Linked DNA regions of Mus musculus. The protein of the gene in region 1 purifies or fractionates together with the protein of each later gene. This does not show direct contact. Links are inferred from orthologs where the notes say so. Each region holds a gene or a part of one and is shown in the gene's direction. Other genes may lie near its edges. The genes, in order: Smarca2 and Dpf2.

What was found.
Region 2: the proteins of Smarca2 (region 1) and Dpf2 purify together in Homo sapiens (affinity purification with mass spectrometry; 6 studies listed by BioGRID and IntAct, counting the BioPlex papers as one, with this or other methods). This does not show direct contact. The link is inferred for Mus musculus from reciprocal best matches to the Homo sapiens genes SMARCA2 and DPF2.

The regions. Positions count from the first base shown.
Region 1 is NC_000085.6:26,773,466-26,781,032, forward strand, and holds the end of Smarca2 (probable global transcription activator SNF2L2), read left to right. Parts: intron 1-707; coding exon 708-840; intron 841-1,572; exon of another isoform or gene 1,573-1,690; intron 1,691-2,454; exon of another isoform or gene 2,455-2,635; coding exon 2,636-2,778; intron 2,779-3,869; coding exon 3,870-3,905; 3' UTR 3,906-4,856; downstream 4,857-7,567. UniProt on the Homo sapiens protein: ATPase involved in transcriptional activation and repression of select genes by chromatin remodeling (alteration of DNA-nucleosome topology).
Region 2 is NC_000085.6:5,897,702-5,906,034, reverse strand, and holds part of Dpf2 (zinc finger protein ubi-d4), read left to right. Parts: intron 1-482; coding exon 483-646; intron 647-1,488; coding exon 1,489-1,581; intron 1,582-1,716; coding exon 1,717-1,795; intron 1,796-2,262; coding exon of another isoform or gene 2,263-2,304; intron 2,305-3,266; coding exon 3,267-3,404; intron 3,405-3,543; coding exon 3,544-3,672; intron 3,673-3,818; coding exon 3,819-3,931; intron 3,932-4,736; coding exon 4,737-4,818; intron 4,819-7,403; coding exon 7,404-7,480; 3' UTR 7,481-8,333. UniProt on the Homo sapiens protein: Plays an active role in transcriptional regulation by binding modified histones H3 and H4. Is a negative regulator of myeloid differentiation of hematopoietic progenitor cells. Might also have a role in the development and maturation of lymphoid cells.

The DNA.
Region 1 (7,567 bases):
CTACAGAGTGAGTTCTATGATAGCAAGGGCGGTTACTCACAGAAACCATATCTCAAAAAAAAAACAAAAACAAAAAAGAAAAAAAATATTGTGGGTTTTTTTTTTTTGATCAAAGATGAGACCCCATCTGCTCCAACACATTTAAATATAATAATTATATATTTTTGAGACAGGGTTTTACTGTATAACAGAGCCCTGGCTGTCCTGGACTCACTTTGTAGACCAGACTGGTCTCAGAGACTTGCCTGCCTGCCTCCCGAGTGCAAGGACTAAAGGCACATGCCACGACACCCAGCCTCAACCATTCTTTTAGCTTCATTTCAGTGCCTTTGGTCTTCCTTTGAGTATCTTGGTGCCCATATTTGGATTCACCGTTTTGCCTCTGGGCTTTCATAAGAGTAAATGGTAGCCTGGTGAGTTGGCTCAGTGTTTAAAGCATTTCTCACACAAGGATGAGGACCAGTTCAGACTCCCAGTATCTGGGATGGGTTTGGGGTCCAGCCTATAATTCTAGAAGAGATCCTACCTTGACAGCTAATATAGTGATTAAGGAACATTCCTGCCATCTACATACATGACCACACACATATGAACACATACTATACACATGGGGAAAGGAAGCCAGTGACTAAGGAGGTGCACACAGCAGTTGTGGGTTTGCCAGACTCAGCATTTGGATTTTAACAGCTGACACTTTGGCCATTTAGATCTACGAAGACTCCATTGTCCTACAGTCAGTGTTTAAGAGTGCTCGGCAGAAAATTGCCAAAGAAGAAGAGAGTGAGGAAGAAAGCAATGAAGAAGAGGAAGAAGATGATGAAGAGGAGTCGGAGTCAGAGGGTAAGTCCCGTGCACCTGGCCCTTCCCACTCGAGGGGCTGTTTCCACAGACACTAAAGACTATATACTTGCCCCGCTTGCTTGTGTCCAGTTTTCTCTGCTGTTAAAATGAAGCACACCAGCCATGGAGCTCAGGACTGCCCATGTGGCCTTTGGATGTTAGGATAACACTCGTGTACACAGCACCTGTCACTCCGGGCAAAGCATTGTAGCATGGCTTGAGGAACATAGACTGTGAGGCTCCATCCCAGTGTTTCTGGGTCAGAGAGGTCCTGCCCTCTACGTGTTCCCACAGGGCACTGCTGGACCCAGGCCTTACTTAGACAGGCATCGATTTTCAAACTGATCTTAGTGCGCCTATTAATTTTGGTCTGCATAGAGACCTGATTTCACAAACATCATCTGGTTTATTGCTAATTAGTGTAGGTGAATTGGAAGGTGAAAGGTATAGTCCCATAATCTATACGATGTGAAGATGTGTGTTCCAGTTCTCTGATATTTTGTAGCATACATTTCTACACTTAACAGATCCAAAAACATTAACGAATGCTTCAAACTGTCTTAATTTCACTGTTCCAATCAGGCCGTTTCCTTACATTTCCCCAAAGAGATTGGAAGCCTCAGCTCACGTATTCTTTCTGCAGTGATCAAATCCCCCACCCCCACTGAAATAGATCCAGCCGGTCCTGAGATCTACAAACATTGCGGGGATTGGCTTATGTGGTAGACCCACCTTTTCGTGACTTATCCTCAAGTACGTGGAGTCATAGCCGTGGGCTGCCTATTCCAGAAGTTCCTGAGGTGGCATAGCACGTCACACTCTTCTGAGCAGGAGCAGAAATGGCTGCAGTCTTCCTGACAATGCAATTGACAGTGTTAGAATGTCCTGTGTGGCTGCTACCACTGTACCCCCACCAAAGTTTGCCAACATGGCTTCACAGTGGCTCTCTCTGTTGTAGCGCCCATCACTGGGGAACTGGTTAAATTGATTATAGAGTAGATGGTGTGTGGGAACTTTTTAGGGGTTGAAAGGAAGCTACGTGTGTGAGCTGATACATATGGCTATCTCCCTTGTGTAGGCAAGCCATGCACAGTGGGCATGCCTGAAGATTTATCTAACTAAATAAAGCTTCAGATATCTGTGCATGTATGTGTGTCTATATATATTTGAATTCTTTGTTGGCTAGAGTATAGACTATTTACAGGTATAAACTATGCTTTTTTTTTTCTGGAAATAATCAGTAGAGAGTCATGAAATGGGGTCAGGGAGGCATGTTGTCATTTTTGCTTGTCATTTTGTCTGTATACATTAAAAATGCTACTCAAATGACTTAAGTTTTTATTTTTTTATTTTATTTGTTTATTTACATCCTAAATGCCGTCCCCCTATCTGTCTCTCCCTCACTGAGTCCCTCCCCATCCTACTACTTGAATGTTTAAATTAAATAGTGCACACAGTGAAATCATCCTTTTTTTTTAAACAACCCTTTATAAGATTTAGTAATAATTAATGTAAATTTTTTTTATTTGATAACTGCTCTGCTCAGCCATCGGGAGCCAGGAAAAAGATCCACCCCCACCCGACACCGAGTTCCTCCTCCCCTGTGTCCCTCACCTTTCAAACAGGGACCAGCTTGCATGTAGAAGAGGTGGGCGCATGCTATCTAGACAAGCAGGGTGAAATGGCATGCCACTGAGGCTCTCCAGCACTGGGGGAAGTCGGACTTGCTATCCACAGGTGGGATAATAATAATTTGACTGAGTTCTCACTGGGGTCTCTCTTGTGACTGCTCTAGCGAAATCTGTGAAGGTGAAAATCAAGCTGAATAAAAAGGAAGAGAAAGGCCGGGACACAGGGAAGGGCAAGAAGCGGCCAAACCGAGGCAAAGCCAAACCCGTCGTGAGCGATTTTGACAGTGACGAGGAACAGGAAGAGAACGTGAGTGTACAGGCCGGGGCAGAGGCGGCTGCGTGCTCCAGGTCCCAGGCCCTCTTGGGGTACACAGTCCTCACTTAGGCCGAGCAGGAGGAGGAGGCCTGGGAAAGGGAGTCATGTTGAGTGAAATTTAGAACAAAGAATCTAAAGCTGCTCGTGTTGCTGTAGAAATGAAAAGCTCTCCATTGCAATTCCCCTTTTCAATCTTCCAGTACACGTACGTGCAAATGCAGTTTTCTTCATGGCTGGTTAATATTTTATATCTCTCATACCCAGCTTGCTGTGAGTATATAGCAGTTCAGATAAAATAATGGTTAGAGGGGGGAAAGGAAAGGCATTGTGGCGGCGGAGGTTTTAGCTGCGATGCCTGAGATTAAATACCCAGAGGCTTTATTCTTATCAGGAAAATTTTAGGAAGTATTTTATCAAACCAGCACCTTCCAATCTGAGGAATAGTTAACGTTTATATTAGCATCGTCTCATAGATATCACTTTGGGTCCAGGGTACTCTGAGGGTTCCGAGGGAGTGAATGGTAGGGTCTGAATCCAGACGCCAGGAGCTTCCTCAGTCTAACACTGTTGACTCTGCCGGTCTTGGGGAACAACAGACAGAAACTTGGCCAGTCCCACAGCAGCTCAGCTTCCCCAACATGACAACCCCTACACAGCTCTCATTCTGGAAAGACAGTTTTCCATCTTGGTACATAAGTGAATTTGATTTTCCTTTAACACTTTGCTACTCCGGCAGGATCGGGAAGTTCTAGAACCTGGCTTACTAGATTTCGGTTACATTTGAAACACCATGTTTCCTTGAGATGACTTACCAATGAGCAGACATCCAAAGCATGATCTTATTCTTGTCATGGGACAGGTTTCCCAAGCTCAGACAAAGGTAGAACTGGTTAGCGAAAGTTAGACTTCTCTTCTGAAGAGACGTCGCCAGTGGCAAACAGCAGATGCAGCTGGCAGGCATCGCCTTGGGTTTGCTAATGCAGCACTCGCCATGGGGGCATAGAGGGTACCCATTCCTCTAGAGTCTGTCTTTCCACAGAAAGGGCTGTAGTGCGCTCAGTCTGTCTACCTCTTTCTTTTAGGAACAGTCAGAAGCAAGTGGAACTGATAACGAGTGACCATCCTGGACGTGAGCTTCCCGCGGTGGCAGAACCGAATGCTTTCTTCCCCCTCTCCTTCCTCCCCAGTGAGTTCACTTGCCATTCGGGCACACTGGGTTATTTCTCCGTCCTCATTGTCATCTAGAACTAGCTTTAGGGTAGTGCCAGACAAACATATGATATCATGGTGTAAAAAAAGAAACACATGCGTGCAGACACACTACACACACACACACACACACACACACACACACACACACATATTTGTAACATATTGTGACCAAATGGGCCTCAAAGATTCAAAGATTAAAAACAAAAAGCTTTTGATGGAAAAGATGTGGGTGGATAGTATATTTCTACAGGTGGGTCAGGTTTGGTAGCAGTTTGATGTGCTGGGTTCTGTCATCTGTTCTGATGAGAAGATTTTTATCTTCTGCAGTGCTGATGGCCGGGAGGAACCATTCAAAGCCACTGGTTATTTTGTTTTTCATCAGGCGATTTTCAAGATTTTCATTTGTTTCAGTATTGTTGGTTTTCTCTTTTCTCTTTTTTACACTGTGGTACATATAAGCAACTTGACTAGTGACAAATGTACAGTAGTTAGATATCACCTACATATACATTTTTCCATTTTATGCTCTATGATCTGAAGAACAAAAAAAAAAGCTTTTTGACTTGTATAAGATTTATGTCTACTGTAAACATTGCGGAATTTTTTTTTGTTCTTGTTTTATTGACAATGCTATTGAGTATTACAGTGTCTAGAATACCCTGGATGGCTTCTCTTGTCCACCCGATCTCCCGTGTTACCAATGTGTATGGTCTCCTTCTCCCGAAAGTGTACTTAATCTTTGCTTTCTTTGCACAATGTCTTTGGTTGCAAGTCATAAGCCTGAGGCAAATAAAATTCCAGTAATTTCCAAGAATGTGGTGTTGGTACTTTCCTAATAAACCGATAACGTACCTTGACTCTGTCGCCTTTTCTTTTATGAGCGCTAGGGCACTAAACCTCTGGGTGTGAGCAAGAGCTATCTGCAGATAGAGAAGAGCCTTGTCATACAGATCATATGGGGGAGGGGCGAGATCATTGCTTTTCTGGCTAAAAGAGAGGCTGCTGCCAGTCAACCTTTGCCTCCTGGCTTTAAATTTCATTCATTAGTCAGAAAAATCTATAAAGGTAGGTAATGTGGAGACTGGCTCAGTCACTACCCATATGCCCTTCCCACTAAGATTTAACAAAATTTTTTGCAGTGTGCCTTGTTTTAATAAGCCATGAGGATATAAGTCACAAGAGCAGGCACCCACAGTCCCACTGTCAAGCAGAAGGGATTAACACCCTTCCTCTAATAGTTAGTAGACCAGTCGCTAGCATATCTGCCAGTTGCCCTAAATTTGTGTTTGGGTTTTCAATCATATGTCTTGATGTCTTTTTAAAGTCCTTAAAAAGCCAGCCCCGAGACTGGTGCATCCTTCCCAAGGAACTGCCAGCAAAGTCAAATGGAAGTTTTCCACGCCACTAAGGAGGGTTAACATTTTCCTAAGGAGCAGGTAAGATTGCGCTAGGTGAGCTTTCCAGTGCCATATCAGACCACAGTCCTACGAAGCTTCATCTTCCCGTCATGTCTGCTCTGACTTCCCAGCTACTCGGAGCATTCCGGAATATTATATTTCTTTTTTGGGGGTTTGCTTATGGGATTTACTTACTGCGGTAGGAATGGAGACTTCAGAGAGAAGCCATATTAACTTTCCACTCTGAGACCACTTAATATCAGTTCAAAGAAAACAGCGCCTCCCCCCTTTGCTTTCATTTCTGTATTTTCTGTGCTGTTCTTGGCTTTGGAGGCCCTGCAGTTGGAAGGTGAGCCAAACCATTGTTTTTCTGGTCCAAGCCTTCTCTGCCTGGTGTGTGTGCTCCCTCTTCCTCCTGCTGCATTTGCTGAACTGTTCTCCCTGCCCGGTACAGGACGTATCCCATTGTCCACCGTCTCTATGCCGTATATGCTACCCACCCGCTAGTCATCCCATCAACTCATAGTACTGCTGTGCTTCTTCAGTTAACAAGATCAACAGTACCCTAAGTCCACATCGTTCGCCACTTGAGCTTTTTTTTGTACGCACTGCATCATCTCATGATCCCTGAAAGGGTCAGTATAATATGGTATTGATATGTGAGAGTTGGGGAGAGGGAGAGAGAGGGGGGGAGGGAAACAACAAATGCTTGAGATAATGAACTCACAAAGGCTTTGTCAGCTCACACTTTTGGAGCTTTCAGGCCACAATCAGTTCACTCTATTCTGGCGAAGGCTCCACAGGACAATGAAATGCCTGAGACCAAGAGAGAGGGACCAGGGCCCCACAGTTCCCTACAGAATTATGCCACCAGTGATCACAAGATCTCATGCCAGGGCCCACTTGCTCAAGCTATGGCTACCCCCCACCCCTCCAAAGCACCTCCTGGAGAAATGTAAGCCTTTAAGACATAAGCCTTTGGGGGACATTCAAGATCCAAACTACGTCAAAATAATGTCCAAACTGTACTGTTTCCTACTAGTTAAGCCTTTCTCTGCCTGCTTTATAAATTGGACTTCATATATATTTCATGGATATTTTATAGCAAGATCAGTACTGTTGGTGGTTCCAGAGGGGATCTTAGGATGTGTCCCTGTGGGAAAGGAGGGCTACCAAATAGCTTTGTCAAGCAAGCTCTCCAGGTATACATTGTGTAGAAGATATCGCTAAGCACTTCACCCATGCAAACAGTGGTGTTACCCTTCCACCATCAGGTCCTGGGGGCATTGCCACACCTTGCTCTCTTAGCTAAGTCCCCCAGAGAGTTGGTTTCAGTGTCCCTAGCTTGGCACACACCTGGACTGTCTTAGCCTGAGCTCAGAGCATGGGCTTCGTGGCCTCAAATGAGGTCATTTTCATAGGTCTGCCTTTTAGGGTGAAATATGCTGGTGTCATCAAAGTGTGCCAGATATGGCCACATTTCCTTCAACAGCACAATGCTTTGGGGGAAATGCTGTCACATGATGTGTTGCTCTATGAATAATAGATTATTCTTATGAAAACAGATGGCAACAACCTTTGTCAGCTTCTTCTATGGGGCCACTGTTGTATCTGGAAGATCATTGGGCGATGTGTGCACTGTAGCAGGCATGCCTGGGAAGGCTATTAAGGCCTCTGTTTTAAAGGTACTTCTTCTTTAAGATTTTTTGGTTTTGTTTGTTTGTTTGTTTGTTTTAGTTCAGAAACTGAGGTCATAACCCTGACTTAGACTCAAATGTGTGGGTTGTTCCTGGCTTTGCCCCAGCCATACATGAGTTTCAATATCCTCTGCAAAATATGGAGTGAGTTGTCTATAAGTCCAGGGTTATAGTTCATATACAGCTTTGTTATTAAAGGTTTCCACTATTTAGGGAAAAATAACTTATAAATGGCATTAAGGAATACCAGAAAGATTCATAGAACTAAGAGGTGGTTTATAAAGCAGTGGCTCTCTGCCTTCTTAATGCTGGCCCTTTAAAACAGTTCCTCATATTGAACTGACCTCCCCCTCCCAATCATACAATTATTTCATTGCTACTTCACAACTGTAATTTTTTCTGTTGTGAATTGTAATGTAAATATCGGATATGCAGGATATCTGATATGTGACCCTTAAAGGGGTCGCATCCCAC
Region 2 (8,333 bases), about 21 Mb from region 1:
TTCCTATAATCCCAAAACTATGAGTACAGCACTGTGCCTTCTAGCTGCCAGTCTAACTCAGGGTTCAGTGAGAGCCTCCAAGGCAATACGCAGAGTGTGATAGAGCAGGACACCCAATGTCCTTCTCCAACATGTGTACCCACATGTGTTCATGGACCATACAGACATACACTACATACACATGCACCAGATGAACCAAGTGAGGGGCTCCCTTCCCAAGCAGGGCCCTGGGCTGTGTGACAAGGCTTGCTGAGCACAGCTTTCCCACACACAGCTCTGAGTTAGAGCTTGCAGACTGTGCTTTCGTCCCTCCCGGAGCTTGCTGGCTTAGTGAAAACAGGTAAGTAAAGCTGTATTCCAGGGCCGGCTGAACAGATCGTCTCGGTTCCTGGAGAACGGAAGTGGCTGGGTTTGACTTGGCCCCACATGGTGTAGGTTCAGCTTCAGCCCTTCTCAGTTAGCTTCGTCTTGGCTTGTTGCAGACACTGACCAGACTCTGAAGAAAGAGGGGCTTATCTCTCAGGATGGCAGCAGTTTAGAGGCTCTGTTGCGTACTGATCCCCTGGAGAAACGGGGTGCCCCAGATCCCCGAGTTGACGATGACAGCCTGGGCGAGTTTCCTGTTAGCAACAGTCGAGCACGGAAGGTCTGTTATTGCCATGGCTAGAGGACTTTAATAGGACCAGCCTCTTCTTTGTGGGTTGGGAGGTTTGTCCAGTTAGAATTGAAGCAGAACATGGTAGGACACATGCTTGTTGATGTGTATGTAAGCCCTAGCACAAAAACCAAAAACAGCTGGAATGGAAGCTGAAGTTGCCCTGCAGTCCTGTGCTCTGCTGGCCACCAGCCCTGACTGCCTAGCCTTCTACACTCCTCTTCCCAGTACAGGCTCACCCACGCTCTCTCTCACAAGGTTTTGTTAGAGACTTAGATACCTGGAGTTACGTAGGTGAAGCACAGTTGGTTCACACCTGTCAACTGGGAAGTTATGCTAAGTTTAAAGATGAGAATAGCTACAGATAAGCCAGATACTGTGCTAAGTATTTTTCCGTATGCTTCCTCTTGTATAGCCTTGTGAGGTAGGTCCTGTGGTTCCCATTTCATGGACAAGGAGGCAGAAGCAAAACAGTTAAAAACTTCCTCAAGGTCAAGTAAGCAGCAAAACTCATTGAAAGTAGGACATGAAAGTTGGAAGCAGAGCAGGCAGGACAGGATGTGGCTGCCTGGGGTACCAGAGAGCTTTATGGAAACTGTTTGGGCTCTGAGAGATGGGGGACAGGCATTCTAGATTAAGGGAGCAACTTGAAGAGGCACAGTGGAAAGCAAGCATTCACGGAAGCAGGACTGGGGTGCAGGGTGAGGAACGGTTCTGGGTAAGGCTAAGCCCCACAGGAGCTTCTGGGTGGTTCCAAGTGGCTAATTCTCTATCATGAGGGCGCTTTGGGATGTGTTTGAGTTCCGCTCATTCACATGTTGTGCTCCACTCAGCGGATCATTGAACCCGATGACTTCCTTGATGACCTTGATGATGAGGACTATGAAGAAGATACGCCAAAGCGTCGGGGGAAGGGGAAGTCCAAGGTGAGAAGCTAACGTGCTCCTAAGAAGGAGGCCGGCCGGTCTTCAGAGACCAGCCTTTAGTTTTGCTTTCTGCCTTGCTCTTCTAGCCAAGGCACGTTGGTGAGGGCATCGTCATCGTTTTGGTTTTCTTGGCAGAGTAAGGGTGTGAGCAGTGCCCGGAAGAAGCTGGATGCTTCCATCCTGGAGGACCGGGATAAGCCCTATGCCTGTGACAGTGAGTGCCACCTGAGGGATGGGTAGTTCTCGCTTGGACCCAGCTCCTGCTCTGGATGTGAGAGGAGGGCGGGCCATGGTCTTGCACTGAATGGTAAAACAAGCCTGGGTTTTTGTCCTGCCTGCCAACCTGGCCTTTGCTTAACAGTGGGTGGGACCTGCATGCTCTGGGGCGAGGTTTCTATGGGTCCTGGGATGGGAGGATGAGGGAACTCAAAGCAGACAGGGTTGGCCTCACAGTGGGCAGCATCCAGATCTGCTGCCCCATCAAGGCAGGGCACAGGGAGCCAGCCCTGAGGGTTAGTGTCTGTCCTCTGTCCCTTTGCTTTGGCTTACCCTACTTCTGTGCCTCCAGCCTGAAGTGCCACTGCTGGGGTCCTCTCTCACTCGCTCTGTTTTCCTGCTGCTGCCGCCCTGTCTCAAATGTATCAAGGCCTTCTTCTCATGACTTTTCTTTCTGTCTTTCAGATAGTTTCAAACAAAAGCATACCTCGAAAGCGCCCCAGAGAGGTAGCTCTCTCAACTTTTCAGACTTGTGTTTTCCTGTCCCTTTTCCCTCTTCCCCTGTTCCTCCTGCCTTTCTCATTTCCTGTGATACTGGCTTTGGAATCTCTGCAACGGTATGAGGGTAGTGCTGTGGAACCCCAGGTGTGCTCCGTTCTCAGTCCTAGCAGCTGTCTTTACCATTGCTTATCTCCCACAGACTTACTCCTATGGTCACTTGGCCTAGTATTAACAGAACCCCTTATGGATAGATGTCATCTGATGTTCCCCAACCAGACAGCAGGTGGTCAGCTCATGCTTCCACCGTCATGCCGCCACCTCCTCCCATCCTCCCATTCCTTCCTGCTGGCCCCCTTACCCCTCTTGGTGTCATTGCTCAAGATAAAATGCCATGTAATCTTTCCTTGCTGGTTGGCAGGGGCTGGGCAGGGCACTAGTGTGGGGATGTATTTCAGTTTCTTTGGGGAAGTTATCCTGGCTGGCAGTTAGTAAGTGTTCACCAAGAAACCCACCCTCAGCCTTTCATCTGTTTAGTTGGGATTGGTACACACAGGGTGGCATGAACCTGCCACATTTACATGGCAGAAAAAGAGGCTGACATCTCTTTGTTACGTTTCCCCTTTTGCCATAGGCCAGACTGTAGAACTTTACAGACCTGGAGCTCCCAGACGGTTACTACTTCTGGGGCAAGTTGATGCAGCATGGGTTAAGTCCTTCTAAAAGCCAGCATAGAAAAATGTCGGTAGCTATTGTGTTTTAGAGAGGGAAGAGAATCCAAGAAACTAAAGAGGTCCAGAGACTGATGCTCTTGGCTGAGGGGAAGGGGCCATCACTAAAGCTTGTCCCAGAGTAGAGATACTGGGGGCAGAGATGTCCCATGGGCCTCATTTGGAGCTTCAGAGCTTGTCAGAGTGGAGAAGTAGCACCTTTGTGTCCTAATAGTTCTCTGCAATCTTTCTCCCGCCCAGTTTGTGGAAAACGTTACAAGAACCGACCTGGCCTCAGTTACCACTATGCCCACTCCCACCTGGCTGAAGAGGAAGGAGAGGACAAAGAAGACTCCCGACCCCCCACTCCTGTGTCCCAGAGGTCTGAGGAGCAGAAATGTAAGCTGAGCTGTCAGGGCAGGCACGCAGGAGAGGAAGCAGCCTGTTTATAAAAGCCTTCATAGAGTTCATAGAGAGAGTGGAGGATATCCCAGGGTTCCCTTGAGAATCATCAGAATTTTTTTCTTTTTCCCTATAGCCAAGAAAGGACCTGATGGATTGGCCCTGCCTAACAACTACTGTGACTTCTGCCTAGGAGACTCAAAAATCAACAAGAAGACAGGGCAGCCCGAGGAGCTAGTGTCCTGTTCCGACTGTGGCCGCTCAGGTACCTCCATCCTCAAAGAGCAGACTGTACTCCGTGCCCAGGAACCTCCTGGGCTGCTTCCTTGAGTGCTGTTATAATCAGGCAACCTCCCTTACCCACTCCCCACCCTGGTTTCCAACCACTTACTTGACTCCCCTCCTCCACAGGGCATCCGTCCTGCCTGCAGTTCACCCCTGTGATGATGGCGGCCGTGAAGACCTACCGCTGGCAGTGCATCGAATGCAAGTGCTGCAACCTCTGCGGCACGTCGGAGAACGATGTGAGTGTCGCTGAGCCTGCCTGGCTCCGTCAGAAGGCACCTGCTCCTCCCTAACTCCCTCCTGGGAACTTTATACTTGTTTTAAAATATCTGTTTCTTGGGCACCAACAGTCAGACAGTGTTCTTAGCTCTCGGGTCAATAAATAAGACAGAGAAGTTAGTGCTTTGATAGAATTTGTGTACTTGGGGAAACAGAGTTTTGTATGATACACCTTGAAGAAAATGAAACTAGTCATGTGCCAAAGAGTTAACTGGATGCTGATAGAGGTTTGTAGCTGTATTTGCTTCTGGAGGAAGTGAGGTTGCTGTTGGAGTTTGGATAATACAAGGAGCCAGTCCCAGAAAGTATGGCTAGTGCAGAGGCCTTAAGGTGGGCCAGCTGGCTGTAATGAGGCCATTGTTATCCACTAGATCTTTCCTGTGGTGGGAAGGTGAACAGAGGCAGGGCTCGGCGGGACTTTGTAGGATCTTGGGACCATTTGAGCTCAGTGAGGAGTCCTGGACCTGGTGCACATTAAGCACCTAAGCTCTGCCCTATGCTTAGACCTTGAGGATGTTATCTGAGGCTCTTTATTAAGGGGGTTATATGCTCTGTCTCATCTTTTCAAAAGGTAACTGGCAGCTCTGTGGAGAAAAGATTGTAGGGAAATAGTAGGCTTTGTGATCTGTTAGAGTCCAGATAGACTGTGATGGACAGACTGACAATCGACCTTTGCTGCTACTAGTCCCTCTTGGAAGCAGCAGCAGTGTCGTAACTTAGGCACATAAACCATTGCACCTTTGTTCGTTCTCCTTACTTCTGCAGGACCAGCTACTTTTCTGTGATGACTGTGACCGTGGCTACCACATGTACTGTCTCACTCCTTCCATGTCTGAGCCTCCTGAAGGTAAGTGGCCTGGATCTACTCAAAATACTTTATCCCAGAAAGATCCACAGCACTCAAGTAAAATATCGATACTGAAATTTGTGACTTATCATAGACCTGTAATTGTATGGGTTTCAGCATTCTATGTCTAACAGCATAGATTTCATAATAGAATGACATGTGGTAGATTAAAGCAAACATTTAATGAGTCTGGAGAAGTGGCTCAGCAGTTAAGAGCACTGAATGATCCTCCAGAGAGCCTTGGTTCAGTTTCTGTCACCTGTTGGCCATTCACCATGGTCTGTAATTCCAGTTGCACAGTCTCCTTCTCTGGCCTCTGCAGATACCAGGCATGTACCTGTGCACAGATCTTTTCTATCTTAGTACTACAAAGGGCTTATTTTCTTTCTTTTGCTTTTTGTAGTACTAGAGATAGAACCCAGAATCCTGTACATGCTGGCCAAATGTCCCACTGCTGAGCTATCTCCCTATATCCCTAACTCTTGCCATTTTTATTTATTTATTGATTGATTGATTTATTATATGTAAGTTCACTGTAGCTGTCTTCAGACACCACAGAAGAGGGCATCAGATCTCATTATGGATGGTTGTGAGCCACCATGTGGTTGCTGGGATTTGAACTCAGGACCTTTGGAACAGCAGTCGGGTGCTCTAACCGCTGAGCCATCTCACCAGCCCTCTTGCCATTTTTTTATTCAGAGTGCTGTACAGTTGATCCATAGCACTTGTGTAGAAGTCAAGTCTCCATTCACTGTGGGCTCTGGAGAGGATCAGGTCATCAGGCTTCGAGCCGTCTCTCCATCCCACACTTGTACTTTTTGTTTTGAGACAGGGTCTCACTAAGTTGCATAAGGTAGCCTGAGCTAGCTTGGTAGCCCAGGTAGCCAGCCCTTGAACTTGAAATCCTCCTGTCTCCGTCTCTAGAACAGTTGGGTTAGACTTGATGCAATCATATGTCTTTGGAGAGATAAGCTATTTCCTCTGGAGTATTCTCCAAACCACATACATAAAATTATGCTTGTATATTCTATATTAAGATTTAGCCAGGTGGTGGTAGTGTGCCTTTAATCACAGCACTCAGGAGGTATAGGCAGGTGGATTTCGGAGTTCAAGGCCAGCCTGGAATATAGAGCTAGTTCCAGGATAGCCAGGGCTACATAAAGAAACCTTGTTCGCAACCCCCTATCCTCAAAATAAGTAGTTTTACTTCTCAAGAAAACGGATCAAACTGAAATAAATACCAATAATGTTTTAGCAAGCTATTTTTCTTGCACAGAACAATTATTTTCTGTTTATCAGTTTTCTTTTTCTTTATTTTTATTTTTTATTTATTTTTGTTGTTGTTGTTTGTTTAGTTTTTTAGGCAGGGTAATTACTCAAAAGAGATCTACCTCTGTTCCCTAAGAGCTGCAGTCATAGGTGTGCACCACTGTGCCTGGTTATTTCCTGTTTCTCTATGAAATTAGGCTTGGGTGATAAGGGGTGCTTGGGGGATACACAAGTTCACTTCTTTCTCTGTTTTCTGCTGAAACACCCAGAGATGTTGGCACCCCAGTTCACTTGCAGTGAAAGGCGAGTCTCTGAGTTCAAGGCCAGCATGGTCTACAGAGTGAGTTTCAGGACAGCCAAGACTAAGCAGAAAAACTGTCTTGGAGATAAAATATAGTAGTTTCTCTGAAGTCTCTTTTCATGACCTTTTTTCAACCTTTGAGGCAATGACTTTTTTTGTCCAAAATTGGGAGCATTTTAACAATCTTTGACTAGGCTGGCAAGATGGCTCAGCAGGTAAAGCACTTGCAACCAAGCCTGGACAATCTGAGTTTAGACTCCACAAGTTGTCTTTCACCTGCATGCTGTGGCAAATGCCCCCAAATAAATAAATTTAATAAGTTATCAAAAAAAAAAAAAAAAAAAAAGGGGCTGGTGAGATGGCTCAGCAGGTAAGAGCACCCGACTGCTCTTCCGAAGGTCCAGAGTTCAAATCCCAGCAACCACATGGTGGCTCACAACCATCCGTAACAAGACCTGACTCCCTCTTCTGGTGTGTCTGAAGATAGCTACAGTGTACTTATATATAATAATAAATAAAAAATCTTAAAAAAAAAAAAAAAAAAAAAAAAACCCAAAACACTTGTGTCTGCTCAGATTGTCCTGTGAGCCCATGGGCCACTGAAGTGACAAGAGGGTCTGGCATTGTTTGGGGACTGTCCTTGCACTCAGTGTGCTCATAGAGAATGGTTTTCATGTGTATTTTTAGTGTATGTTAAGAGTATTTTGTCTACATGTATGTCAGTCTACTGCATGAGTAGCTGATGCCTTTGGGGGTCAGAGGAGGGATCATCAGGTCCCTGTAGATGGAGTTGTGGGTGGCTGTGAACCACCAAGTGGGTGCTGGGAACCGAACCACATCTTCTTTGACTGCTGAGCCATCTCTGGTTCGAATTTTCATGGTTTTGAAGACTAAGCAGTTCCCTCAGCTCAGGAGAACAATGAAGTTGCTGCTGCAGAACTCCCCCTGTCCTACCTGGAGTGAGGTCTGAGGAGGATTCTGTGGGATCTACCCTGACCCCTCTGCTTCTCTGTAGGAAGTTGGAGTTGCCACCTGTGTCTGGATCTGCTGAAGGAGAAAGCATCCATCTACCAGAACCAGAACTCCTCCTGATGTGCCACCCAGCTCCCCTGCATCTAAGGCCGTTGCTCTCCTCTCTACCTTGGTTTCCATTGCCCCTCTCTCCTCTTTCACTCTGTAGTCCTGCCAACCTCCGTTGGCAACAGCACAGGGAGGTGGCAGCTCTGACTGCCTCTAGCCCCGAGCCCTCAGGGAGTAAGGAGCAGCGTGCTGCTCCAGGGCTGACCTGTGGGTCCAACTTCTCTCTGCTCTCCAAGAAGTGCATTCACTCTGCCTGCCTTGGGCCTAAGACCCTGGTGATTACAGGGCTCAAATGGGGTCCTCTGAGAAGGAATATGAGAGCAGCTCACTTGTCTCAAGCCTTGCCCACCCCTCTTCCCCCAAACCCCCTTTGGTTTCCAGGGTTTTGCCCCAGAGATGAGCCAGGCTGGGCCTTTCCTGGAAGCAGCTGGAGTGAGCTGGCTGAGTGGCACTTGCCAGGACCTTTTCATACCCTAGTTCTGCTTCCCTTTGCCTCCTGCCAAAGCAGTCCCCTGTCCTCTGTCATGCTACATGGGGTTCTGTGCTTGAGCTAGAATGTTCTCGGGCACCTCCTGGCTCTGCCCTGTCCCACAAAGGGACGAGCAGCTTCAAACCTGTCCTCCCTGTGCTTGGTGGCTTGCTCACAGGTGCGCTCTGGCTACCCAGACATTTCCTATCCTCAGAACTTCCCATCTTCTGCCCCCATCCTTAGTCCCTTTGCTTTTGTAGGGAGAGGGATAGTGTCAGGGGCTGGGCCAGCAGCTTGGGGGCCACAGGGAGAAGTTGGATAATGTGCCTGTTTTTTAACTCGATAAAAAAGCCTACCTCCAAAATTCCCTTTTTGTTCTTCCTGAACCTGGGCATT